2 linked regions of the Rhinolophus ferrumequinum genome follow. The protein of the gene in region 1 purifies or fractionates together with the protein of each later gene. This does not show direct contact. Links are inferred from orthologs where the notes say so. Each region holds a gene or a part of one and is shown in the gene's direction. Other genes may lie near its edges. The genes, in order: CXXC1 and SETD1B.

Region 1 (14,881 bases):
ATTAGAACCCTCATACACTGCTGGTGGGGATGTAAAATGGCACAGTCACTTTGGAAAACTGTGGCAATTTCTTCAAAGTTATACATAGGGCTACCATATAACCCAGCAATTCCTCTCTTAATCATATACAAGTACTCAACAGAAGTAAGATATATGTCTGTCCTTATGTGAGTGATGAGCTATGTGCACCCCTCTTATGCTGCAGGCGAAGGGCTCCATTCCTGGAGGGATATTATAGTGAGGTTGGCCAGGTGCTGTATTTAAGCAGAACAAAGGAGTCTGAAACAAGGAAATATATTCCCACATAAGATAGTAAGGGTACCACTAGCTGTGGGGGACCAATGCCCACTGCCGAAGCTGATCTTGCTTTGTCCCTTCTCTGTGTGAGTGCAGCATTGTTCCATCCAGTGCCTCTGGAAGTCATGTCTTTCTTGGCAACTCCAACACCCACTATAGAATGGGTTGACATCCTGAGACCGCTACTCCCAGTGACAGGCATTGTTATGCTATTTGCTATCCTTCATGTGGTGGGACTGCTCCCCTGGAGGTAGTAACAGATATCATTTCTTCAACATCAGCAAACCATAGGATTCAAGGTGATATTTACAGATCAGATTTATGAGGGATAGAAACGGACCAACTTAGGGGCTGGACGAGAGGTTGGTTTCCAGGGCTTGTGTGGCAACCAGCAGTAAGAGGAAAAGTCTACCACAAAACCGGAGGAGCAGGCCTTTGTGTTTTTAGAGGAAGTAAGTGGAAACTATCATGATCTGAGTTTGGAAGTCTGTCTCATATTTCTGTATTTTGCATTTAGTATAACATTTACATAAGCCATAAAAAGAGTATTAACTGTTATGCATCTTCAGTAGTCATAAACAGTTGGACTGTATAGGAAAACCCAAAGAATATTATTATTATGACTGATATTACTAGCAGACAGGTAAAGACAAAATGGTTTCTGAGTTCAAGATCAATTTGTAGGTATACCAGCCTTGTGGATTTCTTGGGGTAGCTGTCTACCTCTGATGTCAGCAGCTTCTCATCCTAGAGGAGTCTTTGATGTCTACTACAGGTGGAGGTGAGTGTCGGAGACAGAGGTAGATGTCCATTTATAGTTAGGACCTGATAAGTTCCCTTCCAACAGAGTTGGAAAGTGTCTTTTATTTGAAGTCTTTTCTAATAAACAATATCTCCACGTGCCAGTCAATGATATTCAAAGTCTTTGTCTCTTGGGAGCTCACTGTGAAAGGAGGCAGATACCAACTTGGCATTTTATTGAAGTGACTTTATCAATATTTGGCAATAGTGTGAGATGTCTCCTTTTAATAATGTCAGCTCGTAAGTTCCTTCCTCTAATTTAAGACCAACTTAAATGCACAATGATGCATGAGGGAATGCAAAAACTGAAAAATGGGGTTAGCCAGGGAGCCTGAAAGAACCAAGCAGCTGTGCTGGGTTTCCCATAGCCCCAATTATTCATTTAATTTACATCCATTGTTTACCCATACAATATATTGTAGAAGTTTTTTTTATCACTTATTGTAGAATAGTTCCTATGCAATTTAACATAAAAGACAACTCTTTTGAGGTGTACCAGGGGCCTTTCTAGTACACAGCAAAGTTATTCCTACTTATATTGAGATTTTAACCCTTAAAACCTCAATTTCTAATGAAAACTAAGAAGTAAGCAGTTAGCATTCTTTCACTTGGCAAATTGATGAAAACATTTTATAACCTCTAAAAACATATTTCATAGACATCAAAAGTCAGTTAGCTATTAACGTGGACTTATTTTTGTAAACACGGGTAAAATATATTACATTTAATATCAATAACTCGAAAGATATATCTGTTCTACTTGAACCAACACACTTAAACTTTTATCTACTAAAGATTAATCTTAGATCTTGAAAAGCCTTTGAGTTAGTTTCTATGTATCTGAGAATTTTAGCATATCCAATCCTTAGAAGCACTTGTCTTTCAATTAATTTTAACAATACCATCCAGAGGTAGAAAATTATCTCACATTTACAAAATGCATATGTAGACACACATAGATAGACACAGAGACCTTTTAGCCATGAGAAAAACTCACTAGTTTATAAGAGAACAGTTGGATTCAGATTTTGTTTTGGAGGCATTTACAATTTGTATCTGTCCTTGACAAGTCAAGTTCCAAATGACTTTTCCCCTTTTAACATAAGGACAGCCACTTTTAATACCTCAAAGAATTGGGTTGACACCTAAATCACATCATAGGTTGATCCATTTATTCAAATCCTCTTTTTAAAGTTTCAAGAAATTGTCTAAATATATGCTTTCCATTCACTCTGCTTAATTTTATAGCTGCCTTTTTCTAATTGTGTGCACAAAGATTAAAAGTATCAAAGGATCCTTGTCTTAGCCATCTTAGTATTAATGGGAGGCTGACTCTCTTCGGGCTTGTCAGCCTCAGAGACACAATCTCCCACGTCAATTTTAGTTTTTCCTTTAAGATCTGTAAAATCCGAACAAAATTCTAGGGAGAACCAGCCTTTACGTGCATATCTCCAGACAAGCCAAATGTGGTAAATATCCCTATAAGACTCCTTCATGCCCCAAAGGAAACTCAGGCAACCCCCCAAAGATTCTTAGTCACCCAAGAATACCAGAGCAAAAGCCAGTGAAAGCTTACTGGACGTAACCAGAACTGTGGCACTTTTCCAGGCACACACCCCTTTCTTGGGGTGAATCCACTCCAGAGTGCCCTGCCCTTCTCCCCGTGTGGCTCCCACTGGTTTCTCTGGGATATGCTGTATTACCACACTGGACTGTTTGTGGCAACTATCTCTGCTACTCTGAAACAACTATCATCACCCCATTTGCTGCGGCCCGCAGCGGCCAGGAGGGCTCAGCCTGAGGGGGAAGGGCGAGGAGACGTGGAGACAGGAAAGCTGGGATCGGGAGGTCCACCATCCACGGATGGTGGAGCAGTGGCGCAGTCTTTATTTCACACACGGTTTATATACAGTCTTAGAACAATTGTCTACACAAGCAACTATTAGCAGAACAAGCAGGTATCAGTAGAACATTCTGTTTTGTGTATTGGCAAGTTTGTGTGTCTGTGGCTGCATTAGTGTTATCTTGTACTTTCTGGGAAGATGTTGAGGCAAGGCTTCCCATGGGAGTGACCTTGAGGCTGCAAGGCCCTTGTCAGCTTACAGCCTGCCCCCTACACCCATTGGCTAGGGAAGGTTAGGGAAGAAAATGTCCTTTCTTTTTTGGAGCTAAAGAGAATTTAGTCTCGGGCGGCTGGTTGGCTCAGTTGGTTAGAGTGCAGTGCTCATAACACCAAGGTCAGCGGTTTGAGTCCCACATGGGCCAGTGAGCTGTGCCCTCCACAACTAGATTGAAAACGACGACTTGACATGGAGTTGATGGGTCCTGGAAAAACACACTGTTCCCCAATATTACCCAATTTAAAAAAAAAGTTCAGTCTCTCATTTAACCAGCAAAGATTCTGTTCAGACTCTCAGTAAGTAATCCAATTAAAAAGCTGAAATTAAAAGCCGCCCCCCATTATTTCTTCTTTCCCTGGGTTGTCTTGACCCTTATCCACTTCAAAGATTTTCAAAGAACAATTCAAATTAAGTCAGGATCCGCTACCTAAAGCAAGGAGGCCCAGGATTCCAAGAGAAAACTCACTCAAGTTCACTGGAGGTGAAGAGGGGAGCCGATGGGCCTTTGCTTGTACCTCGCACTGGGCCTGAGTCAACAGGGTGGTCCTGGGGACCACCTGCTTCAAAATCCTGCCGACTGCTCCAAGTAACTGTCAACGTAAGAAACATCCAAACCTGTAAAGAATTTTTATAAGAATTTATTTAAGCCAAACTGATAATTGCCAGGAAGCAAAATCTCTAATGCTTTGGAGAGTAACAGTTTTGCAGTTTCTTTTATGCATTTGAATTAAAGAGGCAACATGAGGAGATTACATGAAGGCAGGAAAAAGCAAGTTGGGGATAGGATTACAGGATAGTTAAGATTATGTGCTCTCTTGAAGGTGGCTAAGCTTATTTCAAAGATGTGTTAACCTAGATGTACAAAAACAATGGACAGGGCTTGCTTAAGACAAATCTTTTACTAAAGAAGTTATATGACTGGGGTGTGACTACCCATCAGGACCTGCCCAGTTAGGAATTTGTGATCAGATCTCCCTGTGGGATTACTTTCTGTAGGACCCCTTTTTGTCCACAATGTCAATCAATCAACAATATCCAACAGTACTTCATTAATACTAATCTTTGTGCTATAGAAAATAAGTTCTCAAAGTGTTGTCTGTGGACCCCTTGGGATACCTGAGATATTCTCAGGTGGGTTGCAAGGTCAAACCTTTTCATAATATTAGGACTTTTTTTCTTTCTCACCACATTAATATTTGTACCAAAAGCGGTAAAATCAATGGTTGTTAAAACTGCAGGCACATTAGCACATATCTAGGCAGTTGCTCTAAACTGCACTAGTATTAACCACATTGCTTACCACACACACACAATATCCAGTCCCATTTAAGAATATCTTTGATGAAGCAATAAAATTAGCAAAAAAATTGCTAATTTTATTAAATCTCAACCCTTGAAATGACATCTTTTTTTTTTCCCAGGTGGGAACCACAAGTTTATTGGGGGCTCTATGCACGCGCACTGAAGGCGTCACACGACAATTGCTATCTTTCCAGTTGTGAAAGAATTCTCGAGGCACATAGAAATGCAGAAAGAAGATTTATTGAAGTAAAAAAGGAGGAAGAGTCAGCTGGGCAGAGTCTAGAGTAGACAGCTGCAGCAGGGGTTTTATATTTTTCTAGCAGGATGTAGGGTTTTATATTTTTCTATGCAGTCTGCAGGGATTTTATATTTTTCTATGCAGGATGTAGGGTGTCTGTCAGCTTGCAGTGGGTTGCCGTTGTAATTGTCTTCTGGGAACTGTTCTGTTCCCATCTATGATAGATGTAAGTTGCTTGTCAGCTTGCAGGATAGTGCCGTTACAGTTGGCTTCCCTTGGGAATCATTCTCTTTCCACAGCTAGCCTCCAGGGGATTCAGAGCCCAGTGGTTAATTTTTAAGCTCATTCCTGCTAACTCACAAGCTCGTTCCTGTTAACTCTTTACCTGTCTCATCATGGAAATTGGTTTGTTTGGCATCTCGGACAGTGATCACGGTTTGCACCTCCTCGATCAACTTCTGTTTCTCATCATCATCAAACTGCATGTACCATTTGGCCAGGCATATCTTGCCTGCCCTGTTCTGGATGAGGATGAAGCAGATTGTGATCACTCGGATTCAGAGCCCAGCTGCCCTGATCCCGAGGCGACTGAGCAGCTCCCAATACATCTATCATTTTAATATTACGTGTGATGAAATGAGCAGCATGAAGCACTACTGCATACCACAGTGGAAGGGTTGTTTTGAGGAAAAGTACTTCTATGATGGTTTGAGTTGTGAGCTGAACTAACCACTTTTTTTCATGGAACATCATTTTTATCTGAAAGAACAAGTTATTTAGATTTGTTATTTTGGCAGACATTTAAAAAAATATGAACCAAGAGAGACCATCACTTCAAATAAAACAATTGATGGTATTTGTTACCAATGATAAAATTAGAACTTTCATACACATGATCATTGCCAACAATATGCACAACTGCCCGATTCAGCTATGCATGGTCAAGTGGTAATAGCACATTTGAGTCTCCCACCCTGCTCTTATTTGCCACTGATAGCAAATAAGGTAGTAGCACAATTTCCCAGAGGTATGCATGGGAGGATAAAAGAAGAGCTAGGAAGGTTAATAATGTGCTTTGGATCTTAGAGCCAGTTAGGGTCTCTTAATACCTTCCCCAAACAATAGGTTGAATATTCTATCAAATTGGAGGTTCGCTTCTTGGAATTGGCACATTACTATGTATTTTACTATGAGCTTTACTGGAAGCAGAGTTTTGATCGCTCATTTATCTAGTTTCTCTTTTAAAAGTCCATTCCACTCAAATCAATAATCTAGAGTTCCAACGTAAATAAAAGGGAAGCAAATTAAACCCAAAGCAGAAGGAAGTCATAGTAAAGATTAAAGTGGACATTAATGAAATAGGGATGAGAAAAACAATGAAACAAAGAATTAATCCTTGGAAAATATTAAAAACCTCTTTTAAGAAGAGAAGGTCACAGAACCTATGTAGTGGCCCCTTTGTCTATGTGTCTGTGACACTGTGGAGAGGACAATGAAGAAAAATGTTAGGAAAGGTGGGGGTAAAAAATCGGACCTCCTAAGCCACTAGCAGCAGAATCCTCAGTAGCAAATAAGTTGCTACTACCTCCAGAGCCAAGAAATCCAGAAAAACTGTCAGCAAATGGTAAAAAATCCCATTTTCTCCAGACTCTTCTTCTCAATCCAAAATGAAGTCCTGACTTTGAATGTGGACGTTTACTATGACGGTGATTCCCGCTCTAGTGTGTTTGGGGGGTGATGTTTGGAGGGAGAGGAATATGGTTATAAGTGGGGAATATATAATGACCCAGACATGTTGTATTTCATTTAACCTTCACTGTCCTCCAGTTTAGAGCATTACTCTGAGGAGACGTCTAGCTCTCTGACCTGCACAGATTTTCTTTATTGTACACGATTTAAATTTTAAAAAGTTAATTTACCTTTATTGAAGCGACTGTTGGAGAGGTATGAAATGAGAACCAAAGTGGACACCACCAGGAACCAGGCAAATCTACATTCTGACAGTGGCGGGGTGAGGGGATGATTTGGTGAAGCCGTTTGTCTCTGATTTCAAAATCTGCTTCGGTCCGGCTACTTCTCACCAAAGATGGTCAGGCCACCATCGTTTATGGCCTTCCATTTTACTCGGGACTAATTCTGCGGGGTGAGAGTGCTCTTGCAACGGTCCAGCGACTGAACCGTGCAAGGGCTGGTTAAGGAACTGCAAGGAACACGAGCAGGAAAGAGTGGCGGGAAGTGACGTGGAAAACCTAATAGTGGGATTGCTTTCCTTCGCAGCGCAAGACATTGTGCCGGAGCCCCATTAACACATGCGGAAAGGAAAAGTGATTAAATGGCGAAACGAGTGCGACTGGATCCAAGTAGTGTTATTAGGAGCGGCCGCTTTCCCTGTGAACTTCTCTGCAGTGTGAACTTCTCTGCAGTAGAAGGTACAGGCGTACGGAATCGACCTTCAAGATAGCGGCGCCCGGTGAAAGCCACGAATAGGTCGCTGCCATGTGCTGCCTGGGAACGTACGGACTCGGCCATCTTACGGAATCACATTCCAAGATGATGGCGTCTGCATAGAAGTCGTTCAGTAGGCGCGGCCATATTGCCTCCAACTTTGAGACCGTACAAGCGGTCACCGTACGGACTCGCCCAACAAGGTGGCGGCGCCCACAAGTAAGCGCGCTCAGGCACGGCCATGTTTCCTGCGAAACGTATGGACTCGGCCGCCAAACGGCCTCGGTAGTCAAAATGGCGGCGCCTAGGAGACAGTCCGGGCTCTAGGCTGGCGACCACTTGTTTGTTTATGGAGCCGATGCGCTGGGCCTGCGCAATAGGAGTACGGTGCCCGGGAGGCGCAATCAGAAGCGGAAGTAGTTGTGGGCACCTTTGCAACCGCCGCGGACACCGTAGAGTGGTGTAGGTTCGCGGGTCGCTGGCGGGGACCGCGAAGGAGTGCGCAGAGAGTCGAGAGATGGTGAGTACGGGGTCCCGGGAGAGGGTTGGCGGTAGAGGTTAGTGGGTTTGGTAATGGTGGGGTCCTTCGGCAGACGCGTGGGGGGTCTGTGGTGAACCGTAACTGGAGTCTGGGCAGAATTGAGGGGGCCTGTGGAGAGCCTTAACAGGGTTCTCTGGGAGGAATGATGACTGTCGGATGGTCTGATGGTTTTTCTGATACGTGAGCCATGTGGGAATTTTGTGATGAGCCATTGTGGGTGTCCGTAATAGAAGTTTAGTGAGGAACCCTGATGGTAGTTCCTTGGGAGTCCGAATGGGGGATTCTTTGGGCAGAGTGATAAAGAGTTTGCGATGAGCCATGTTAGGTAGTCTGTAGTGCACCGTGGTGACTCTGTATCAAGGAGTCCATGGGGAACCAGGATGGGGGCGAGGGTGACTGTGGGGTTAATAACGCGGGATGTGTGGGGAGCTGTGATGCGAAGGCTGTAGCTGAATTACGAGATGTTTGTGAGAACGCGTTGTGGGCCGGGTCTGTGAGGAGCCACAGTGGGGGCAGTGTGTGGCGAGCGGTAGGGTGTTTGTAACGAGCTTTTATGAATGTGTGGCTAGGATGATGGGGTGTCAGCGAGGTAAGTATGGGAGGTCTGGGGCTGAGCAATGGGGGTTTATAAGCAGAGTAATGGGGTGTCAGGGGTGATTGATGTGGGGGTCTGTGGGGACCATGACGGAGGGATTTATGAGGCGCCAAGATGGGAATTCTGTTGGCAGAGTGTTGGGGTCTATGGTGAGCCCTGGTGAAATTATAATGGAGGGAGAAGATGCTATGATGGGGGTCCTCTAAGAAGCCATAATTGGGGGGATCCCACAGGAGGGTGACGGTTCAGATCCAGAGCCTCCAGATGCTGGAGAGGACAGCAAGTCGGAGAATGGGGAGAATGCACCCATCTACTGCATCTGCCGCAAACCAGACATCAACTGCTTCATGATGTGAGCCAGGGAGAGGTGGGCGGGACTGACAGCTGGCAAGGTTGGGTGAGGCCGATGGGTCCCGCCCCTCACATCTGCACCACTCGCCTCATCCTCTGCAGTGGGTGTGACAACTGCAATGAGTGGTTCCATGGGGACTGCATCCGGATCACTGAGAAGATGGCCAAGGCCATCCGGGAATGGTACTGTCGGGAGTGCCGAGGTGAGGGGCGCGTGGAATGGACTGGGTAAGCAGGTGGGGCTTTGAGGGAGGAGAAGGAGCCATAATGGGAGGCTGGGTCTCAGGGAATAGTGATACGTGTCTGTGGGCAGAGTGATTGTTCTGTAGTGAGCAATAATAGAGAGTCACACTGGAGGGGGCAGCTGTACTCTGGAGTAGGGGGACAGACCATTGGGTGGGACAGGAAAGAAGAGGGAAAAAGAGTTCTGGGATAACCCAAATCCCCAATGTCAGCCTCCCCGGCCTCATCCTCTGTTCTACAGAGAAAGACCCCAAGCTGGAGATCCGCTATCGGCACAAGAAGTCACGGGAACGGGACAGCAATGAGCGAGACGGCAGTGAGCCCCGGGATGAGGGTGGAGGGCGCAAGAGGCCTGCCCCGGATCCAGACCTGCAGCGCCGGGCGGGGTCAGGGACAGGGGTTGGGGCCATGCTTGCTCGGGGCTCTGCTTCGCCCCACAAATCCTCTCCACAGCCCTTGGTGGCCACACCCAGCCAGGTGAGTGGCTGTGGTGGCAGGGATAAGTAAGGTGATCCCATCTCAGGCCCAACTTGGGTTCCTGACTTGTGTTCTGGGCCCCTTCCTTCAGCATCACCAGCAGCAGCAGCAGCAGATCAAACGGTCAGCCCGCATGTGTGGCGAGTGCGAGGCCTGCCGACGTACTGAAGACTGTGGCCACTGTGACTTCTGCCGGGACATGAAGAAGTTTGGGGGCCCCAACAAGATCCGGCAGAAGTGCCGGCTGCGTCAGTGCCAGCTTCGGGCCCGGGTGAGCATGGGCAGAGCTGGGCAGGGTCAGGTTAGGGGGCCAGTGTGTTCAGGAAGAGCTCATTGAGCCTAGGATGGGTGGGCTAGGTGGGGTGGGGCCTAACTGCATAGAGACAGGTGGAAAGGAGCCAGGCTTGTCCAGGTGAATGGGGCTTGGCCAGGTGTGCTGGGCTAGCAGGGGAGACCCCCAAACCCAGGAAGTCAGGGTAGGGCCAGATGTTTCTAGGTCGTCAGACATGTCAGAGCAGGAGGAACATGGCTCAGCATGTCCTAGTGATGAGGGGTGGGGGGGCAGGTGTGCCTGGGTAGGCAAGGTAGGGGCTGGTTGGGGGGGCCAGGCACTTGTGGGAAAGGCTAGGGCAGGGCCACCCTCCATCCACCTGGGGCTGACCTGGGCCTTCTCCTGCCGGCACAGGAATCGTACAAGTACTTCCCTTCGGTGAGTCCAGCCCCCAGGGCGGGGCGGGGCATGCGGGCAGGTTATTCAGGGCCAGTCCTGAGATTCTGCCCTGCAGCTCTCGCCAGTGACGCCCTCAGAGTCCCTGCCAAGGCCTCGCCGGCCACTGCCCACCCAGCAGCAGCCACAGCCATCACAGAAGCTGGGACGCATCCGTGAAGACGAGGGGTCAGTGGCGTCATCCGCGGTCAAGGAGCCACCTGAGGCTACGGCCACACCTGAGCCACTCTCAGATGAGGACCTACCACTGGACCCTGACCTCTACCAGGACTTCTGTGCGGGAGCCTTTGATGACCACGGCCTGGTGAGCAGGCAGAGCCACCCAGGGTGGAAGGGGGGAGGTTACAGAAGCAGAGTATCCATAATGAGGAGAGAGGAGGCAGATGGTATGGAAGGCTATTTGGGAACTGAGTAGGTGGTGGGGAAGTCATGAGTGGGGCAGGTGGGTCACTGTATGCTTCACTTGCAGCCCTGGATGAGTGACACAGAAGAGTCCCCATTCCTGGACCCTGCGCTGCGGAAGAGGGCAGTGAAAGTGAAGCATGTGAAGCGTCGGGAGAAGAAATCTGAGAAGAAGGTGATGGAGAGGGTGAAAAGGATGTGGGAAGGAAGAGGGCACGGGCTGAATGGGGCGAGAGCCAGAAAGGGGTGGAATGCAGGGAGAGATGGGGGTCTGGGCTGACGTATACTGTCCTGACCTGCCTTGTCCCATAGAAGGAAGAGAGATACAAGCGGCATCGGCAAAAGCAGAAGCACAAGGACAAATGGAAACACCCAGAGCGCGCAGATGTCAAAGACCCCGCGTCACTCCCACAGTGCCTGGGACCTGGCTGTGTGCGCCCTGCCCAGCCCGGCTCCAAGTATTGCTCAGACGACTGCGGCATGAAGCTGGCAGCCAAGTGAGTCATTCTTGGAGGGTTCAAGGCAATAAGGGAGCATAGAGTAGGACTTGACCAGATCCCTTTGTATGTCTACCAGTCAGTTACCTGTCCACCATTCAGTCAACCACCCACCTATCCATCCTCCATCCATCCACCGTTCGGTCACTTATCTGCTCATCTATCTACCCTTCAGTCACCTATTTGCTTACCTTTCACCGTTTAGTCACCCATTCATTCTGCCATTGTTGGCTGACCCCAGTTGCTCATCTCTCGATTGCCACCTTCCCACTTACACTTAACCCACTGCTCCCTACAGCCGCATCTACGAGATCCTTCCCCAGCGTATCCAGCAGTGGCAGCAGAGCCCTTGCATTGCTGAGGAGCATGGCAAGAAGCTGCTCGAACGCATCCGCCGTGAGCAGCAGAGTGCCCGCACCCGCCTTCAGGAAATGGAGCGCCGATTCCATGAACTCGAGTCCATCATTGCACGTGCCAAGCAGCAGGCTGTGCGTGAGGATGAGGAGGTGAGCAAGCATGCGCATGGCAGCGCAGGGCCCAGTACTGGTCCTGCCGGGCCTCATTCCTTCTATTCCATGCAGAGCAACGAGGGCGACAGTGATGACACGGACCTGCAGATCTTCTGTGTCTCCTGCGGGCACCCCATCAACCCGCGTGTGGCCTTGCGCCACATGGAGCGCTGCTATGCCAAGGTCAGGGTGTCAGCCTGAGAGGGGCACACGGTGCAGGAGTATCACTGGGTCCGTGGGGGACAGATGTGTTGTCTTGGGAGGGCATGCAGCGCATGTCCACAGTTCCCTCCATTTGTGTTCATCCTTCCAGTATGAGAGCCAGACGTCCTTTGGGTCCATGTACCCCACACGCATTGAAGGGTGAGTGTGGGTACTCTGTAGGGTTAGGGCTGCAAAGTTAAAGCTGGGGTCAGAAGTGGAATGTTGTGGCAGGATATGGGCATGGGCAAGGATAAGTGAGACCTCTTCCTTCTCTCCCCCCACTACGCTCTCTCTTTTTCCAATACCCAGGGCCACACGACTCTTCTGTGATGTCTACAATCCTCAGAGCAAGACATACTGTAAGCGGCTCCAAGTGCTGTGCCCTGAGCACTCACGGGACCCCAAAGTAAGGTTTTCCCTCAACTCCCCCCATTCTGACCCTCCTACCTTCCTCACCGCTCCACCTCCTTTCCTTTTCCCACCTGACCACTTCCATAACTCACACTTTCCCTGCCTCATTACCCTTCATTCATCTTCTTTTGTACTCTCTCATCATCTCCTTTTCCTCCCCTTTTCCCTGCCTCTTCATCCTCTGTTCCTCTCCTTTTCCATTCTTCACTCTCCCTTGAACTCTCCATGCCTTCCCTCCTTGACCACTCCTCATTCTTATTTTCCTTCCTGACTTAGCACCTCTCATTCATCCCCACTCCATCTCCCTGCAGGTGCCAGCTGATGAGGTATGCGGATGCCCCCTTGTACGTGACGTCTTTGAGCTCACAGGTGACTTCTGCCGCCTGCCCAAGCGCCAGTGCAACCGTCATTACTGCTGGGAGAAGTTGCGGCGTGCTGAGGTGGACCTGGAGCGTGTGCGCGTGGTAGGTTTTGATGCCGGATGTGGCCAGGGTGAGGTGGGTCTTCCAGAACTCCTTCTCATGGCTCTTCTCCCCTGGCAGTGGTACAAGCTGGATGAGCTGTTTGAGCAGGAGCGCAATGTACGCACAGCCATGACAAACCGGGCAGGATTACTGGCCTTGATGTTGCACCAAACAATCCAGCATGATCCACTCACTACCGACCTGCGCTCCAGTGCCGACCGCTGAGCCTCACTGGCCCAGACGTCCTCACACCCTGCATTCCAGGCGTGGGAGCTTGCTGGAATCCTCTTGCTGTTTGTAATGGTCCCTGAGTTTTTCCTTGTGCCCGCCCACCATTTGACTGCCCATCAGCCCTTACCAGAGGGTCTCAGAATTTCCTCCTGTCCTTGTCTTTCCCATTTTCTCTCCATTTTTTGTTTCTGGGTGGGACTGTGGAGGCTGCTCACTCTTGCTCAGCCTCCCTGGTTTTGTTAATAAAATTTTGTGAAGAACCAAGAAAGAGAACCACTGATGGTCTCCCAACTTTACCCAGTTGCAACTGCATTCCCAAACCCCTGGGGTAGATGGGCCGTGGCACACCTGTACTCATGAGGGACTGCACTGCAGTGCATGTGTAGGCTGAGTATACAACTGGCACCCACTTGGTGCAGGTTCCCTCCTTGAGCTGTGGGCATACGACCTGCTGAGGGAAGAGCCCAATGGCCCACCATTCACAGCCTCATTTTGAGACAGTCCAGTCAGCACTCGTTCAGTGTGTGGCTAATCGATTTACTACTGCTGTGTGAGTGTTAATATTCTCCAGACCAAAGGTGTACCCGATGATCCCAAGGCCCCCTCTTTCCCCACGAACCCCTCTTTGGGGACATGTATGCAGCAGGAGTCCACTGACTTTGTGCCAGAAGCCTCACCCCACTCAATCTGCTTGGCAGGTCCAGTGGGGCTCACAGCTTGGCCTTTCCAGGATGGACCTGCCCTCATCCGTTGCATGGACCTGGCCTTTTGTTTACCTGTAGTGTGGCACTGCCCCCTTCCCCAGTTCTGGGGAAAGAGCTGGGGCCAGCTCAACATAACTTGTCTCTGCTCTCCTGCAGCTGTTCAGTGGGGAGGAGAGAGCGGGATACAAGTCTTGGGGGAGGTGTTCATAGGGACTGGGGCACCTGCGCGACCTAGGCGAGAGGAGGGCTCCAGCACAAGACCAGGCATCGCCGTGCCTCCCTCCTGGTTACTCCTTGTGGAGACCTAGCGTGAGCTTTTCATGACTATCAAAGTATCAGTCTCACACGTCTGTTCCACCTCCTGCCCCCCACTCTGGTTCAAGCCGTTGTTTCTCAAGTCTAGTTGTGTAGGACACAGCTCCCTGGCCCATGCTGGTGTTATGAGCCTTGCGCTCCCCCGGCTGAGGCAGTCGGTCGCGGGTCGGCGGCTCACGGCAGCTCTCATAGGCTGCCGGCCACGCACGCTGGCTGCACCTGGCAGCACACGGTAGCCCACGGCAACACAGCAGCCCAGGATGAGTCGTCGTTCACAATCTTCGGTATAAAGGGCGCAGCTCACTGGTCCATATGGGAATGAACCAGTCACCTAGGCGTTAGGAGCACGGCGATCCAACCACCTGAGCTATGGGGCTGCCATATGTTTGTTTCTACAATGTTAGACTTTATTAGAATTAAAGCCATGGATCTAGTCGTACCGACTGGGTTTACCACAGGCATCAACCAAGGCTCTGGCCAGAGGATAGCCTCCAATGGTCGAGGTAGAGCAGTTTCACACAAGAGGTTTGCAAGCAATAGGGTTAGGCAAGGTGAACAGTCTTAGGAAAGAAGGAGAGAGTCCGCTGTTCACCGAGAGTCGCTGGAGTGCTTGGGTGTCAGGCTGGGCAGGTGAGGCCGTCAGGAGGCAAGACTGCAAGCGCTCGGTCTGAGATGAGTGCAAATGCGGCTGTCAGTTGAGGCCTGAATGATGAGCCCTCAGAGAGCTCTGTTTTCGTTCTCAAGCCTGGGTGCGGTGCACCCATCTGTAGTCAGATAAAGCCTTCCAGATGGTCACTCTCCACCGTGCGCCTGGATAGGGTGTTCTGGTTATCTGGTTTGGGCATTCACTGGGTATGCCTTTCACGTGCTCTGGCATGACTGTCACTTTGTGACTGACATAACTATCAAAGTCATAAGTAACGCTCTATACAAGACCACTTAGGTAAGGAATTCCACGGGCCAACCCCAACCCTCTACGCCCCCTCAGGTTGGGACCAGAGAGCGCA
Region 2 (14,282 bases), on another chromosome or scaffold:
TTGAGTGAGGGGAGGACCACTTACCTTTGCAGCCAGCCCCAGGCTTCTCACCTCAGGCCTGACCTTGCAGCAGGGACCCTAAAGCTCAGGGAGGGACTAGGACAGTTCAAGAGAGGGAGGGAGGCTGGCTCATCTGGAAAGGGGCTTGGGGGGAATTCACTTAGAAAGGTCACCCCACTCTGAGCAAGCTGTCACTTGAAACTGGGTTAATCTCATGAGCCTGTGGGAGGGCTCCTGATTAGCCTCAAAATCCCTAGACTTCAGTTTTCACTCTCTCCATCTGAGAAATGGAGCTACAATTTTGATTTATGACAGAACCACTTACACAAAGCTGAGGGGAGGGAACAAGAGGAAAAGTGAGTCTTCCCAGCCCTTCCTGAGTCCAGCAGAACAGCTGACACTGGCCCCAGCCCACCCACCCACCCCTGCCTGGTCAAAAGTCTGGCAGAACCCCAGCCCCAGCCGGTCTGGAGCATGTTTGATTTGGACCCGGCTCCAGTGGTGCAGGGGCTGGATCTGTAGCTAAAAATAGCCAGCAGCTAGGCCAGCTGCTGGAATCTTCCTCAGAGGCAGCCAGGCCAGGCAAGCCAGCTGAGGAACTGGGCACACCCCCACGCCTGAGAGCCCTACTCCTTTACCTGTGAGACGTTCTGAGGACCCAGTTCTCCTATTCACCAGGAATTCCTGGAGATTTAGAAAGGCAAGAAAGATGCTTTAAACTGGTTCTTCCATAGAGCTGTTGGGACACAGAAGCCTAGGGGAGCTGGCCAGGTGGCATTTGCGGGGTGAACTCATTTGGCCCGTGCCATAACAAGGCCAACTGAGCCCAGGAAAGAAGGGGCCAAATCCACTTCTGTCTTGTCAGGGCAAAGTCTGGCCAGTGCCGCTTAGGATGGGGAAGTTCATGACAATGCCACTTCCCTAGTGCCTCCGCGCATCCTGCGAGGTCACCACACACCTGACGGTCATCTACTCCATGTGACACTGAAGAAGCGGAGCCTTCATATACTAAGCTACTCTTAGTATACCTCTGGGGTCCCAGAGATAGGAGGTGGTCTGGGGAATCACTGCCATACAAAAAGCTCCCCTCACAAAGCCAGATAGATCAGAAAGAGCTCAAAAGGTTATTGGCTAACTTCCTTCTCCTGGTTCACATGGAGAGACCACTGCTCCCAGAAGGGCAGGGACTGCCAAGGTTACTGCCAGCTGGAGACAGCACTGACTGAGGTGGCCTTGGCCTTGAAATGACAGGGTGCCGCTCTCTACAGTCCAGGCAAAAGCTGTGTTTCCACCCAGAGGGTCCAAAAGGTCGCACTGCATACGGGGCTCTCGGTGGATGGGCCGGAAGAGGCCGGACCATGGCATCCAGTAGTAAGGCAGGTCAAGCGGCCTTCCTGCCTGGGGACGCCCTTCCGCTGGCGTGGCCCTCTAGGCAGCCCCACCGGCAGGGTGCCAGGATAGGCCCCGCCCCTGGCTCCCTGGGTGACCTGTGGGCAGGGCTACCCTCTTGGCAAGAAGGAACAACAGCCTGAGGACACACAGGCTGCTCCAGTCCCTCCCTGTCCCCAGGAGGTAATTGGGTGGGGGGGGGGACACAAAATTAGAAAGAGGAGGTGAAAGAGAATTCAAGAGGGGAGGAAGTAGCTGATGACAATCCTTCTGGGTCATGGGGACACCTCTCCCTTCCAAGAATCACAAGCAGACCAGTTTAGCACCTAATTGCTCCCTAATTGGTCCCAGGGAGGGAATGGAAGAACTGGCTGTAGCCCTCCAGGCAGCTGCTGAAAGGGGAGGGTGGGTTTAAATCATTTAACAATCTGCCTCCCAAGGCAGGTAAAGACCCCTGCCCCAGGAGCCTCAAGGACTCTATCCAAAGGGGACACAAGACACCCTCAGGCGGCACAAAGGTCATTGAGGATCAAGAGAGTTTTATGGTTTCATCAAAGGCAGAGCGGAACTTAGACCTTAGGTCTGGGGTTGAGTGCGGAAGGAGGGAAGAGGCTCATCAAATTATACCAGGAGCCTTCCCCCTCACCCTGGGTAGGGGGAAGGGAGACTGGTGACAGGTGTGGTGGGGTGCATGCCGTTCCTCCTGGCAAAGGACAAGATGGACCAAACCCAGCGTATCTGGGACTGGAGAGGCGAAGGCATGGCAGCCAGAAGAGCCAAGAGCACCTCCAGGTTACTTTCAACCAGACAGCTTTCCCAGCTCCCGGCAGTGATGCCAGCAGACAGCTGGCATGGGAGGGAGCCCAAAATAACCCAGACAGCTGGGGCTAGGGGATGCCATGGACATAGGCGCTGGGCTGGAAGTCAAGACACCTGGAACCCTCTCCTGGCTGCTGGTGGTGACCTCGTGACCTTGGGCGAGTCACTTATACTCTCCGGGAGGGTGAGTGACCCCCAATTAAGACAGCTCATGGAACAGCCTGTGGAGCTGGGGGCAGGCCCTGATCAGAACTCAAACTACACAAGAGGAAGAATGACGCTGGCTCCCTTCCCAAGGAGAGCCAGTCTTCCCCTCTGCCCTGAGGCTTTGCCACGTGCTCTGGGGTGGGCTGTGGGGAGGAGCTCGCAGCCAGCCAGCCCAGCCTCCATGCCCTGCAGCCACATCGGAATGGAGGCCGACTAGTGTGAAGCCTAAATGAGAGGCCAGCCGCTTTAATCGCAAATAATCCTCCCACCACCCTTTTCAGCATGCATCATTATCATTTTACACAGGAGACCCGCCCAAGGTCACCAGCACAGTGGAGATTCAAGCCCACAGCCACCTGACTTAAGAGCCTCCCTTGATTAAGCACCACAATGGCTCCAAACAAAATCTCAGGGTCAAGCCCTTACAGACTCCCCCAAATCTCAGGTAAAAGTGGGCAGGGCTGATCTGCAGCCCAAAGGAGAGTCAGTTCAAACCCCAAATGGTTCATCAAAGTCATTACATACTAGAGACCACAGGGGGGAAAGGGTCAGAGATCAAGGGCCATACCATCTCCAGCTGTGGAGCTTCCTGGAGACAAAAGACACTGGGAAACTGCGCAGACAGCTTGCGTTAGAATTAAGAGAGAGTTGCCATTATTAAGCAGCCAGCGACTCTGCCAAGCACAGAGCTTGCATCCTCACAACACCCCAGGTGTTAGCTAGCCCAAAGGTTCTTAAAATGTGTCCCCAGATGACAGCAGCAGCAGCACCACCTGGGAGCATGTCAGAAATGCAAGTTCTCAGGCCCCACCTACTGAATCAGTTCTAAAATGTGATTCCGCTCCATGCTCCAGTTTGAGAATCACTGACCTAGACCCACTTGTGCAGGTGGGCTCAGAGACTGCAGCACATGCAAGGTACAGCAGGTAAATGGCTAGCTGATATGTACGGCTCTAGAAACGGGTCGTTTTGGTGTGGGGGTGGGGAGGGAATCGTGGGAATTCCCAGGAAGTGGGAGAAGAGTCAAGAAACCTGTTCCTCACAGAGGAAGCTTGCTCAGATGACAGGTCCTGTTTCACCTCCCTAGCAGCTCAAGCAGTCACTCCGCGTGCCCAAACTGGGGGCAAGAAGGGAAGGCCCTGCTTCTGGGCAGCAAACAGTATCTTTCTAGGCATCCAGGGCCCTCCCCCCACCACAAAACACACCACTAGGAAACACTTGCCAGTGCAGCCTGTCCTATGCTACTAAATACAGCAGAGAATTCCACGCCCCAAACTCTGACAACAGAAGCTGACAGGCGGGATGGATGGACCCAGCAGGCAGCCGGTTTCACACACAGTCCCACACATCTGTGTGGGGGAGGGGCCGCAGAACTAGCCTAGCGGGTTTGAGGTGTACGCCCAACCGGGGCTCCGGGCCAAAGCCCCCCAAATAAATCTCCCTCCCAGGCTGCAAAAGGGCTTACACCTACCTTAGTGGGAGGACTCTCAAGAGTCAAACTAGGCCTGCTCCTGCTGTCCAGAGGACGGTCCACTCTGGGGGTATGGCCTGTTGCCCCTTCTCTGGCCAAGAGCCTGGGAGGTTGGGGGGGGGAAGTGGGAGGATTTGTTAGGGAGTTGATGGCCACAAACTGGACAGGATCTCCTGGACAGAAAAGGAGACTTACAAATCTCCCCCTCCCCCACCCTATTCCCAGCTGCCAAGGCAGTCCTCACTGCGCAATGGGTAAGAGGGGGGATGGTGGGTGAGTCACGAAGGTTCAGCCCGGGTGACAAGCAGCAGGAGGCCACTCATCTGCATTTCCAAAGGCCGGCCCCGTCCGTAACCCTTCTCCCAAGAAGGGCCATAGTGAGGATTTACCTGGGAGCCCTCCGACCCCCGGGCCTCGGGGAAGGCCCGCAGAACCTTCCCAGGCCCCAACCCCCCACCTCAGCCCCTAGAGGGCCGGGTTGGAGAGCACACCCTGGACAACCAGATCCGGGCGTCGGTGGCTTCCGTGAGGGCCTCACGCCCAAAGTGGGGACAAAAAATGACCCCGCGCTTCGAGCACGGCTAACAAAGGGCAGTTGGGAGCCAGACCTGGGAGCTGAGGCTCGGGTGTGCAGCTTGGGGTCAGGACCTGGCCTCCGGAGGGGCCGATCCACGTCGAAGCCCAGACCAGCCCCGTGGCCCTTTGCTACTGGCTCCCTCGCGGGAGGAAGAAGGAAAAGCACCCGCGGCCGGGCGGTGGAGCGAGGCCTCGTGCCCGCGCCCCCCCTCCCCCCACGACTGTGGCGCGGGGTCCGAGCCAGCTGCGCTGTTCGCGCTGGTAGTCGAGGCCTCCTGGCCAGGGGCGTCCACACAGGCAGCCGCTTGGAACGCGGGAGGCGGCCTCCCCTCCCCCCCGGCCCCGCCGCTTCCCTCCCACCTCCCGCCTGGCGCGCAGCGGCCGCCACCGCCCGAGCCGCGGGCGGCGCGCGAAATGGCGCCCGTCTGGCCGCCTCGCCCCACGGAGGCGAGCGCGGGAGTCCCGCCGCGCGACGCCCCCAGGCCCGCGACCCCCGAAACGGCCTCCGCCACCAGCCCCTGGCTCGGAGCGCTGTGCCCCGTGGGTCCTTGGGACCCGGCCCAGCTGAGGGACCACTGCCTGCTCCGGGCGCCCAACGACAACCGGGGAAGGAGGGAGGAAGAGGAGAGTAGCCGCCATTAGCTGCCCGCCCCCGGCCCCAGCCTGTGGCTCGGCTCTGAACCTTAAAATAAAACTCGTGTTTGGGAGGGAGGAGCGAGCGCGGCCGGGAGAACCGGCGGCGCGCGGGCTGCAGGCTGGAGAGATGCTGCGTCATGGTGCCAACATGGACGCCGGCCTTTTGTCCTTTGTTGTTTAGGAAGCGCAGGCGCGCCCCGGAGCCCCGAAAAGCCGGCTACCGAGTGCGAGACCCCCACAATCAAAAGGGAAGGAGGCCCTAGATGGGGCGGGGAGGTCTCCTCATCTTTTGCGCCCCCGTATTTCCAAAGCACTTCAATTTCTTCTCCCCACCAAGGCTCAGAACTACAAAAGGGAGGGACGAGCGCAGGCGGCTCCCTGAATGCCCGGGGTCGTTGGGGGAGATTCTTCTCGCCTCCTGGGTAGAAGGGGCAAAAAAGGTCCCAAGAGCCCTCCTCGGGGCCCCCACCCCTCCCCGATCCGGCTGCCAAACATAAAACTCCAGAATCTTCCTTCTCCCCTCAGCTCCCACACATTTGCAGCCCTTGGCCTGCTCTAAAATAAAATAATTTCCTCGAAGGGGCAAAAGGAACTTTTTTTTTTTTTAACTTACCCGCTCACCCCGGTGCCATGGAGTCTGGAAGATCAAGCTGGGCGGAGAGTTTGGAGGTGTTATTGTAAATATCTTTGGGGGGGGGAATTGTTTAGTTGGGAATATTTAGGGGAATGGTGGTGCCTTTTTGTTGTTGTTACCTTTTTGTAAGTTACACTCTCATGGCATTTTCTGTTCCTTCCACTTCTGCAAACTTTCCAGGGTTGGGTTGGCAAAAGGCGACTTCGCTGAGGGCTGTTTACTGCTCTCGATATAGCAATGGTGTGACCGTCATTAAGAGACAAAAGGCGAAAACACACAGTCAAGTCAAACAAAAGGCAAAAAGACACACGGCCATCCCAACCACCATAGAAAATACCCGCGAGTTAACGTTGGTGTTTGGCTCGAACCAGCTAGGACTTGTTTTCCACTTTTAATCTAGTTTCCTGTGACGGCTTCAGTCTCTACACAAAGAGGTCTTCCTTTCCCTCACCCACCCCTCTACCAAGACGAGAAAAACAGAGCTGTTTTTCAACTGATCAATTTTCAAAGAAAGTGTACATGTTACTAGGAAGAAAGATGACTAGCATTTATTGCTGTAAACATTTTCAAAAGCTTAAAGCTAAAGCCTTAGCTTTTTAAAAGCAAAATCGTCTAAGAGCATTTTAACTGGCTTATAATAGACAAGAGCAACAAAGACATACATGCAGATGAAGGTTCAGAAAATTAAGGACATCTCAGCAACATTAACATGAAAACTGCACTGCGTAAGGACACAATGGATTGGGTACTTACAATGTAAAAGGTTTTTAAAAACTTAAAGAGTAACAACTGCTTACAATTTTTTGTTGCTGCCATTTCGCTAGTCCTAAAACTACACATTTAAAACATTACCTTGTTAAAAAAAGAGAGAAGGAGTTAATAAAATGGCCAGGTTTAAGTGTTTAATAGAGGAAACTATATATATTTAAAAATTTATTGTTCAGTTAAGAGAATACAGATTAAGATAGCTCCAAGCTCCCCCCACCCACCCAAGAAAAAAGAGGAAAAAAATTAAATATGTCATTTACTTAGGTTTTTTGGAATTCAAAATTGTTAACTGCTGACATTAATGGTGTGCTATGACCTAGTTATACAAGACAAAGATGGATTCCAAGTCATAAGGAAAAATCCAGATCTTTTTAAAAAGTCTTCTTCATTCTTCCAATAGTGAGTCCTTTAGCTTGTTGACAAATGTTAAACACAACACTGAGGCGTCCTGAACTGGATGGTGGAGTCAAAGGAAAAACATTCCCCATTTGCAACAAAGGAAAAACCCACTTGGCCATTTAATTCCATTGCAGAAAAATGGCTCCCCTCATCTGTTGGCCTCTCCTTGGTGTCTGATGAAGGATGTTTTGAGATCAGCGTCTAATAACTCAAGCCCTATAGAAGCCGCGCGCTGATTGGCTGCCGCGCCCTGCCGCCCTGCTCCAGCCAATTACCTACCCACGGCCAAATTACAAACCCCGAAAAAGAGCCCCAATATGAAATACACCACTACGAGCCCCAGCGAGGCGGTTCCCTCGCCTCGGTCGCCAGACACGAGAGGCAGAGGGGGCTGCAAATGCGTCCTCGCGAAGCCCAGGAGCCTCGGAGTTGAACTCACAAAATGGAAGCCGCGCGCTGATTGGCCGCCGCCACTCCCGGACCTTTAATAAAGAAAGGGGAAGGAAAAGATAAATGCAAAAAAGGGGGACTCTCTCCTCCGCTGGTGGCTGGAGGAAGGAGTGGGGGGGGCGGTGGAGAGAGCATGTGTTATGGACAATTACAGGGCGCTGCTCTCCAAAAATAAAAACAGAGCAAAGGGCTTCTATCAGCCAGAGTCCAGGCGAGAGTCGCATCCTCCCAGGAATGTGAATGCTAATTTGGTTAAAATCCTGGTTTCCCCTCCCCAGCTCAGCTCCGGGGGGGAAGCGGGGGAGGGGGTCGCGGGGCAGAAGAGGAAGCTGGAGCGTATATACCTCGATTGCAACTCGTCTTGAGTCGTCTTGCCTCCCCACGGGGCTCGAGCGTCCAGACATACAATCACACACACACACACACACTCACACACCCCAAAACCCCAGTCCTTTTCCCCGAGCCCCCACGCGCCCACCTCAGGTCTTGGCAGTTTGGAAACAGTTGTGGAGGCCCGAGGCGCACGCCGCGGCTCAGAGGGTAGCCTCAGCCGTGGAGGTAGAGCCCGGGGAGACCCCTTCCCCCGCCCGCTAAGCCCCCCACCTAGGTCCCAGCAGAATAAATAAATTAAAAGGCCTTCCCCCAGGGAGGGGGGAGGCAGTGTGGGAGCGCGCGAGTGAGGGGTGGGGGGCCGCTGGGGCCCGGGGCTTTGGCGGCGCAGCTGCCGCCGCCGGGAGAGTGCCTGGGGAAGCGGCGAGGAAGGAGAGGGGAGGAGGAAGAGCGGGAGGAGGAGGAAGAGGAGGAGGGTGAGCGCTCGGGTCGGGCTCCTTAGCGGTGTATTGTGGGATGTGCGGCTACTGGGAGCCGAGCCTCCGCCGCCAGCCGCCTCCCGGGCAGCAGCAGCAGCAGCAGCAGCGGCGGCGGCGGCAGCAGCTCCGGGCCCGGCAGCCGCGGCCGCGGCGCCCCCCCCTCCTGGCCCCCCGTCTGGCCGCCCCGGCCTCGGCTCCCGCGGGGGACACCATGTACTGGCTGGCGGCGCAGGGAGGCCGGCGCCCGGCGGGGATGTAAGCGCGGCTCGGGGAGGGAGAGGCCGCGGCCGGCAGCCGGGCGGCCCGAGCCCCCAGCCCCGGCCCCGACCAAGCGGGCGGGCGGGCGGACGGGCGGGCGGCGCCAGGCCTGCCCTGAGCCCCGCGCCCCAGCCGGGCCGACCGAGCGAGCGAGCGCCACGCCGGGCTGCGGGGCGGGCACTATGGGCCGGAGCCCGCGTCCTCCGGGCACCCCGGTCCCCACCAGCCCGCACCGGAGGCCCCCAGGAGCCCCTCGCTGCTGCCCCGAGACGGTGGCCGAGCGGGCGGGCGCCTAATTCTCCCGGAAGGGTTATTATCTCGTTACATTCTTATTTTGGGGGGAGCCAGCGAGACAGTGCCTTTTGGGGCGCGCTGGTAAGGTGGGAGGGGGTGGGGGCTGGACGATTTGATTCTTTCGCGTGTGTGTAGAAGCGGCCGCCGCCGCCGAGGCGGCGGAGACGACAACAACTTGCTCGTCTTCAGGTTGGGTTAACGGCATGGAGAACAGTCACCCCCACCACCACCACCACCAGCAGCCCCCGCCGCAGCCCGGCCCTTCGGGCGAGAGGAGGAACCACCATTGGAGAAGTTACAAGTTGATGATTGACCCGGCTCTGAAAAAGGGGCATCATAAACTGTACCGCTACGATGGGCAGCATTTCAGCCTGGCGGTAAGTAGCCGGCGCGCCTCCCCGTCGCCCCCACCCACCCCCAGCCACGCCGGGGAATGAGGTCCGAGCGGCCCGGGGACCCCCGTCCAGACCACCGGGCCAACTGTCAGCCGGGTCCCCAGCCCTGGAGTTTGACAAGTGCCAGGAGGAGGGGGGTCTGCCCCTGCCTGTGGGGATTGGGACCAGCCCTCCCATTCCGCCCCCCAATTCCTCCCTACAGATGTCCAGCAACCGCCCGGTGGAAATTGTCGAAGATCCCCGGGTCGTCGGGATCTGGACCAAAAACAAGGAGCTGGAGCTGTCGGTGCCCAAATTCAAGGTAGGACCCTTCCCCCGGCCCCAAAGTCCCTCCCCCCTCCCACCCCGAGTTCGAAAATAACGCCAGTCCTGACCGAGCCCAGCCGGATTCTGAGTTCCCGCCGTCCCGGCCGAGGAAGTTTTGACGGGGAGGGGGAGATTGCTGCAAGAGGGGTGTCCCCTCTGAGCTACAGTAAACAGAATAACACTGCGGTGAAACTGTAATCAAGGCGCTGATACTGTGTCCTGCCCGCCCAGCTGGGGGCTCCGGGTCCCCACCTGGCTCCTGCCAGCCCGGGGGCTTGGCTCCGGGACCCGCCCCCCTTCCCAGCCTTGAGGCTTTAGAGAAACAACTTCCTAGCCCAAGGGGTTGCCCCTGACCCGCAGCTGGAAGAGTAGGCCAGAATGGGGGTGGGGGGTGGGGAAAGAGAAACTGTTTCTTTTTCCCCTTTCCTTTCGAACCCAGAGGACTTCCACGTTCCAAACGATTTAATCCTTCGCTTCCCGGGCCCGCCCGCGTGCATTTTTTTTTCCAAAAAAATTTTTTATTTTTTTACCCTTCATTGTTTTACACGGGCTGGCGAGTGGAGAATGTTCTGTTTTCCCTTCAGTTTCAATGTTCTCCAAACTCCCTTCCCCCTCGTCCCCTGCCAGATCGATGAGTTCTACGTGGGCCCGGTGCCTCCGAAGCAGGTGACATTTGCCAAGCTGAATGATAACATCCGCGAAAACTTCCTGAGGGACATGTGCAAGAAGTATGGGGAGGTGGAAGAGGTGGAGATTTTGTATAACCCCAAGACCAAGAAGCACTTGGGCATTGCCAAGGTGGTCTTTGCCACCGTCAGGGGAGCTAAGGAGGCCGTTCAGCACTTGCATAGCACTTCTGTCATGGGCAATATCATCCACGTGGAGTTGGACACCAAAGGTGAGTGGAGGCTGCTGGCTCAGGACACCCTGTGGAGGGCGCAAAACCTGTCAGTGTGACCCCTTTCCCTCCCGGAACTCCTCTTGCAGTGTCGGGGACCCCCTCACTCTTCCTTGGGTGCCCTCCTACAATCTTATTTTCTTTGCCCCCTCCTGAGGGTAGAGTCACGTGGAGCTAAATGTGTTGTCTGTTGCTAGGAGACAAGCTGTAATTTACCAAATGTGCCGGTCCTTGGCCACTGCACCCCTAGGGACCACCTAGAAGCTTCCCCACCGCTGACACCCCCTCAGGCCCCTCTCCGAGCCCTGGTGGCCTGGGTTTAGACAGTCCCCAGTGTTGCAGTATGTTAGGGGAAGAGGCAGGGTTTGTTTATTTGGGGGGGTGCTAAGGGGAGCCACTAGGATGCATTTCAGTACATAAAGAGTAGGTTCCTCAACTAACAAGAGAGTCCTCCGAGGATCCAGGGTGTACGTCCCTCCCCATACCGCCCCTAACCCCTGGAAGTGAGAACCAATCTGGGCCCAGAGTGAGGTTTCATTGATAATGTTCCAGATACTGCTCCGCGGCTGCACTGGGTGCTCCAGGGTTGACACTGTCTTCCCTCCTCTCTCTTAAAGAGACAGTAGCACCTCCTGAGCAGTGCTGGCTCACTCCCAAGTGGCTGGCTGGGGAGGCCACACCTCCCACCCTCGGGGTCCTGGGAGGCTTCTCCTGGATGCTGGCTGGAGGGGCATGCAAGGACTCTAGTTCCCACCAGGACAGAAGAAGGTGCCGGGTTCTCTGAGGACCAGCCAGCCCTGTGACTGGGTCCAGAGTCTCTTGAGGTCTCTTAGGAGAACCCTGCCTGGGCAGGCATAGGTGGAAGGCTTCCAGGGATTTTGTGAGCAACTGGGGCATTCAACTTAAGACAGAAAAATCTAAATCTTTATTTTTGGTTCTAATAACGAATACATGTTGACCGAATCTCAGGCGTTGCTGGGGGCTATGGAGGGGTGCATGTCCCGGGCAGGCACTGTTATCCCATAAGTTCTTGCTGAGCTGTACCTTGTTCTGAGTCTCCTGGGGGCACAAGCCCAGGTTCCTGTCCAAGCCACAGCTCCCCTCACATCCCTTTCTCTAGTTTCTCAGACTCTGGGGGGGAATACAAACCCTTTCAAATCTACATCTCTCTCCGGGGGCTGCAGTCCTAAGACTTCAATGTGGAGCCCTTTCCCTCCCGTCACACACCCACGTTAAGCAGTGTGTGATCACCAAAATTTCATTTCTGCAAACAAAAAAAAGGGGGTGGGGGTGGCCCTCAGAGACTGCTAACTAAGTTTGTATTTCAAGAAAGAGACCAGTAATGCATAGCTCAAGGAATGCGTCTTCTTTGCATATGTAAGCAGCTGCCTCACAGGGCTCTATAAATATCAATAATCTGGGGCCCCCTGGTCTGCAGAGGCCTTCTCTGCTGGTGGAGTGGGGTGGAGGGTTACCAGACATGGCTCATGGGGCCGAGCCCCAGGCACAGCTGGGGAGTCTGGTCAGAGGAAGGAGGCCTGTGGAGTTGACAGGAATGGGGTACTAGAGTGTGTTTTATAAACGCTGCTGGTCACCTGGCCCCAGATAGTTAACAAAAAACTGTCACTTCTGTGTCACTGGGTCTGCTCTCCACTTGCTACCAGGCCCTGGCATTTAAGGGGGAAGGCAAAAGGACAGGACTGGGAAGACCTGATTCTTTGGGTGCCCAGGTGACAGGAAGGGGCTTTGTATTGAGTGTGGCATTTTGTATTTGGGGGAGTCCCAGCCCCACAAGGCATTAAATTCTGAGTCTCAGGATGAGAAAAATCACACAGTGTAGCAGCTTCACTGAACATATAGGACTCCTGAGTGAGGTGCAAAGAGAGGTGGGAACTTGGTCAGGGTCACACAGCTTCTCCAGGCTTGGGGTCTCAGGCACAAGGGCCCCACAGGCAGCCGTCCTGTGGAGGCTGTCCCGTCTGAGAGCCTCGCTGAGTCCTTCATCCCTTGTTCTTCCATAGGGGAAACCCGCATGCGGTTTTATGAATTGTTGGTCACAGGCCGATATACACCCCAGACCCTCCCAGTGGGCGAGCTGGATGCTGTCTCTCCGATCGTGAATGAAACCTTGCAGGTAGGTTTCTCACCATCAGCACCCCCTCCCCATCACCAGCTTACTGATGTGCCCCTCACCCCCACTGTCACCATCTCCAGCCTTGGACACCAGAGCCTAGGAGGGAAAGTAGCCTGGCCATGCACTGGCTGGGAGTCCCACAGACCCCAAGACCACCTGGGGCCCACTTTCCATGTGGATGCTGAAACTGCTGCCCTTGATGTCCTGTGCATCCCTCTAGCCCTGCCCCCAGAAAGCAGAGTTCAGGTCCCTCTTTCCAGAGCAAGACTGACTCCTTCCCCAACCACTGCCTCCTAGGACCACCTTCACCTAGAGAGATTCTCATCCCAGCCCTTCCCCAACCAACCTTAGGAATAGCTTTTCCAGAATGAAGAGACTTTGCTCATTTGCTGGTCAGCTGAGTTCATTAGGTGCATTTACCATGTCATACTATTTAAATCCTAAAACACTGGGAGGCTGGAGGGGACAAGGCCTTTGGCCACCCCCACACTCCCAGGAACATAGTTTCCATGGTTTTTCTTGCTGCTCCTGCGGGAAGGTCTTTGATTTCTGCCAGCCTGAGACAGGAAGGAAATCCTAGTTAAAACCAAGATGTCAGGATCTTCTGTTTTCTCTGCTTGAGGGATTAGGAAAAACCCTCAAGGTTCTCTGAGGATAGTTGGTGACTCTAAGAGTAGAGAAGGGTTAGGATCATCCAGAAACTCCTCTTCAGTCCCCCACCCCCCAATCCTTTTACCATGCTGCAGGTCTAGAGTGACCAATTTGCCTCTGAGCTCCCCAGCAGCCAGAGTGAGAAGGGAAAATAGCCCCATTCCATTCCATGTTCCCCATCCCCGTGATGTCACCTACACCTCTCTCTCTAGCTGTCAGATGCCCTGAAGCGCCTCAAGGATGGTGGACTGTCTGCAGGCTGTGGCTCTGGATCATCCTCTGTCACCCCCAATAGTGGTGGGACACCCTTCTCCCAGGACACTGCTTACTCCAGCTGCCGCCTGGACACACCCAACTCCTACGGACAGGGCACACCCCTCACACCACGCCTGGGCACCCCCTTCTCCCAGGACTCTAGCTACTCCAGCCGCCAGCCCACACCCTCCTACCTCTTCAGCCAGGACCCCACGGTGACCTTCAAGGCCCGGCGACACGAGAGCAAGTTCACGGATGCCTATAACCGCCGCCACGAGCACCATTATGTCCACAACTCTTCTGCAGTCACTGCAGTGGCAGGGGCCACGGCTGCTTTCAGGGGCTCTGTGGACCTCCCATTTGGGGCACTCGGCAGCAGTGGCCCTCCATTCAAGGTTCAACCACAGGATTCAGCCACGTTTGCCCACACTCCACCACCTGCCCCAGCAACCCCCGCTCCTGGAGTCACGTTCAAGTCTTTCTCTCCCTATCAGACTCCTGTGCCCCCTTTCCCCCCACCCCCTGAGGAGCCCCCCACCACAACCACCTTTGGGGCCCGTGATAGCGGGGACTTCCGAAGAGCACCTGTACCTCCACCCTTGCCGCCCACTGAGCCCCTGGCCAAGGAGAAACCGGTCACGCCGCCTGGCCCACCACCCCCCGATGCCAACAGCATGGAGCTGGGTGGCCGGCCGACCTTCGGCTGGAGTCCTGAGCTCTGTGACAGTCCAGGCACACCCACACTGGAGGCATCACCTGCAGGGCTGGAGAAGCCCCACGACAGCCTGGACTCCCGCATCGAGATGCTGCTGAAGGAGCAGCGCACCAAGCTGCCCTTCCTTCGGGAGCAGGACTCGGACACGGAGCTCCAGATGGAGGGCAGCCCCATTTCCTCCTCTTCCTCTCAGCTCTCCCCATTGGCCCCCTTTGGCA

Evidence for each region.
Region 2: the proteins of CXXC1 (region 1) and SETD1B purify together in Homo sapiens (affinity purification with mass spectrometry; 11 studies listed by BioGRID and IntAct, counting the BioPlex papers as one, with this or other methods). This does not show direct contact. The link is inferred for Rhinolophus ferrumequinum from reciprocal best matches to the Homo sapiens genes CXXC1 and SETD1B.

What each region holds. Positions count from the first base shown.
Region 1 is NC_046302.1:41,093,333-41,108,213, reverse strand, and holds CXXC1 (CXXC-type zinc finger protein 1), read left to right. Parts: upstream 1-7,498; 5' UTR 7,499-7,720; coding exon 7,721-7,723; intron 7,724-8,572; coding exon 8,573-8,691; intron 8,692-8,792; coding exon 8,793-8,893; intron 8,894-9,174; coding exon 9,175-9,410; intron 9,411-9,501; coding exon 9,502-9,681; intron 9,682-10,095; coding exon 10,096-10,119; intron 10,120-10,195; coding exon 10,196-10,441; intron 10,442-10,606; coding exon 10,607-10,714; intron 10,715-10,851; coding exon 10,852-11,036; intron 11,037-11,334; coding exon 11,335-11,542; intron 11,543-11,617; coding exon 11,618-11,728; intron 11,729-11,858; coding exon 11,859-11,908; intron 11,909-12,058; coding exon 12,059-12,155; intron 12,156-12,471; coding exon 12,472-12,624; intron 12,625-12,702; coding exon 12,703-12,849; 3' UTR 12,850-13,119; downstream 13,120-14,881. UniProt on the Homo sapiens protein: Transcriptional activator that exhibits a unique DNA binding specificity for CpG unmethylated motifs with a preference for CpGG.
Region 2 is NC_046308.1:5,456,651-5,470,932, reverse strand, and holds the start of SETD1B (histone-lysine N-methyltransferase SETD1B), read left to right. Parts: upstream 1-8,264; 5' UTR 8,265-8,413; intron 8,414-8,587; exon of another isoform or gene 8,588-8,725; intron 8,726-8,772; exon of another isoform or gene 8,773-8,791; intron 8,792-8,899; 5' UTR 8,900-8,913; coding exon 8,914-9,087; intron 9,088-9,307; coding exon 9,308-9,406; intron 9,407-10,038; coding exon 10,039-10,309; intron 10,310-12,330; coding exon 12,331-12,443; intron 12,444-13,306; coding exon 13,307-14,282. UniProt on the Homo sapiens protein: Histone methyltransferase that catalyzes methyl group transfer from S-adenosyl-L-methionine to the epsilon-amino group of 'Lys-4' of histone H3 (H3K4) via a non-processive mechanism.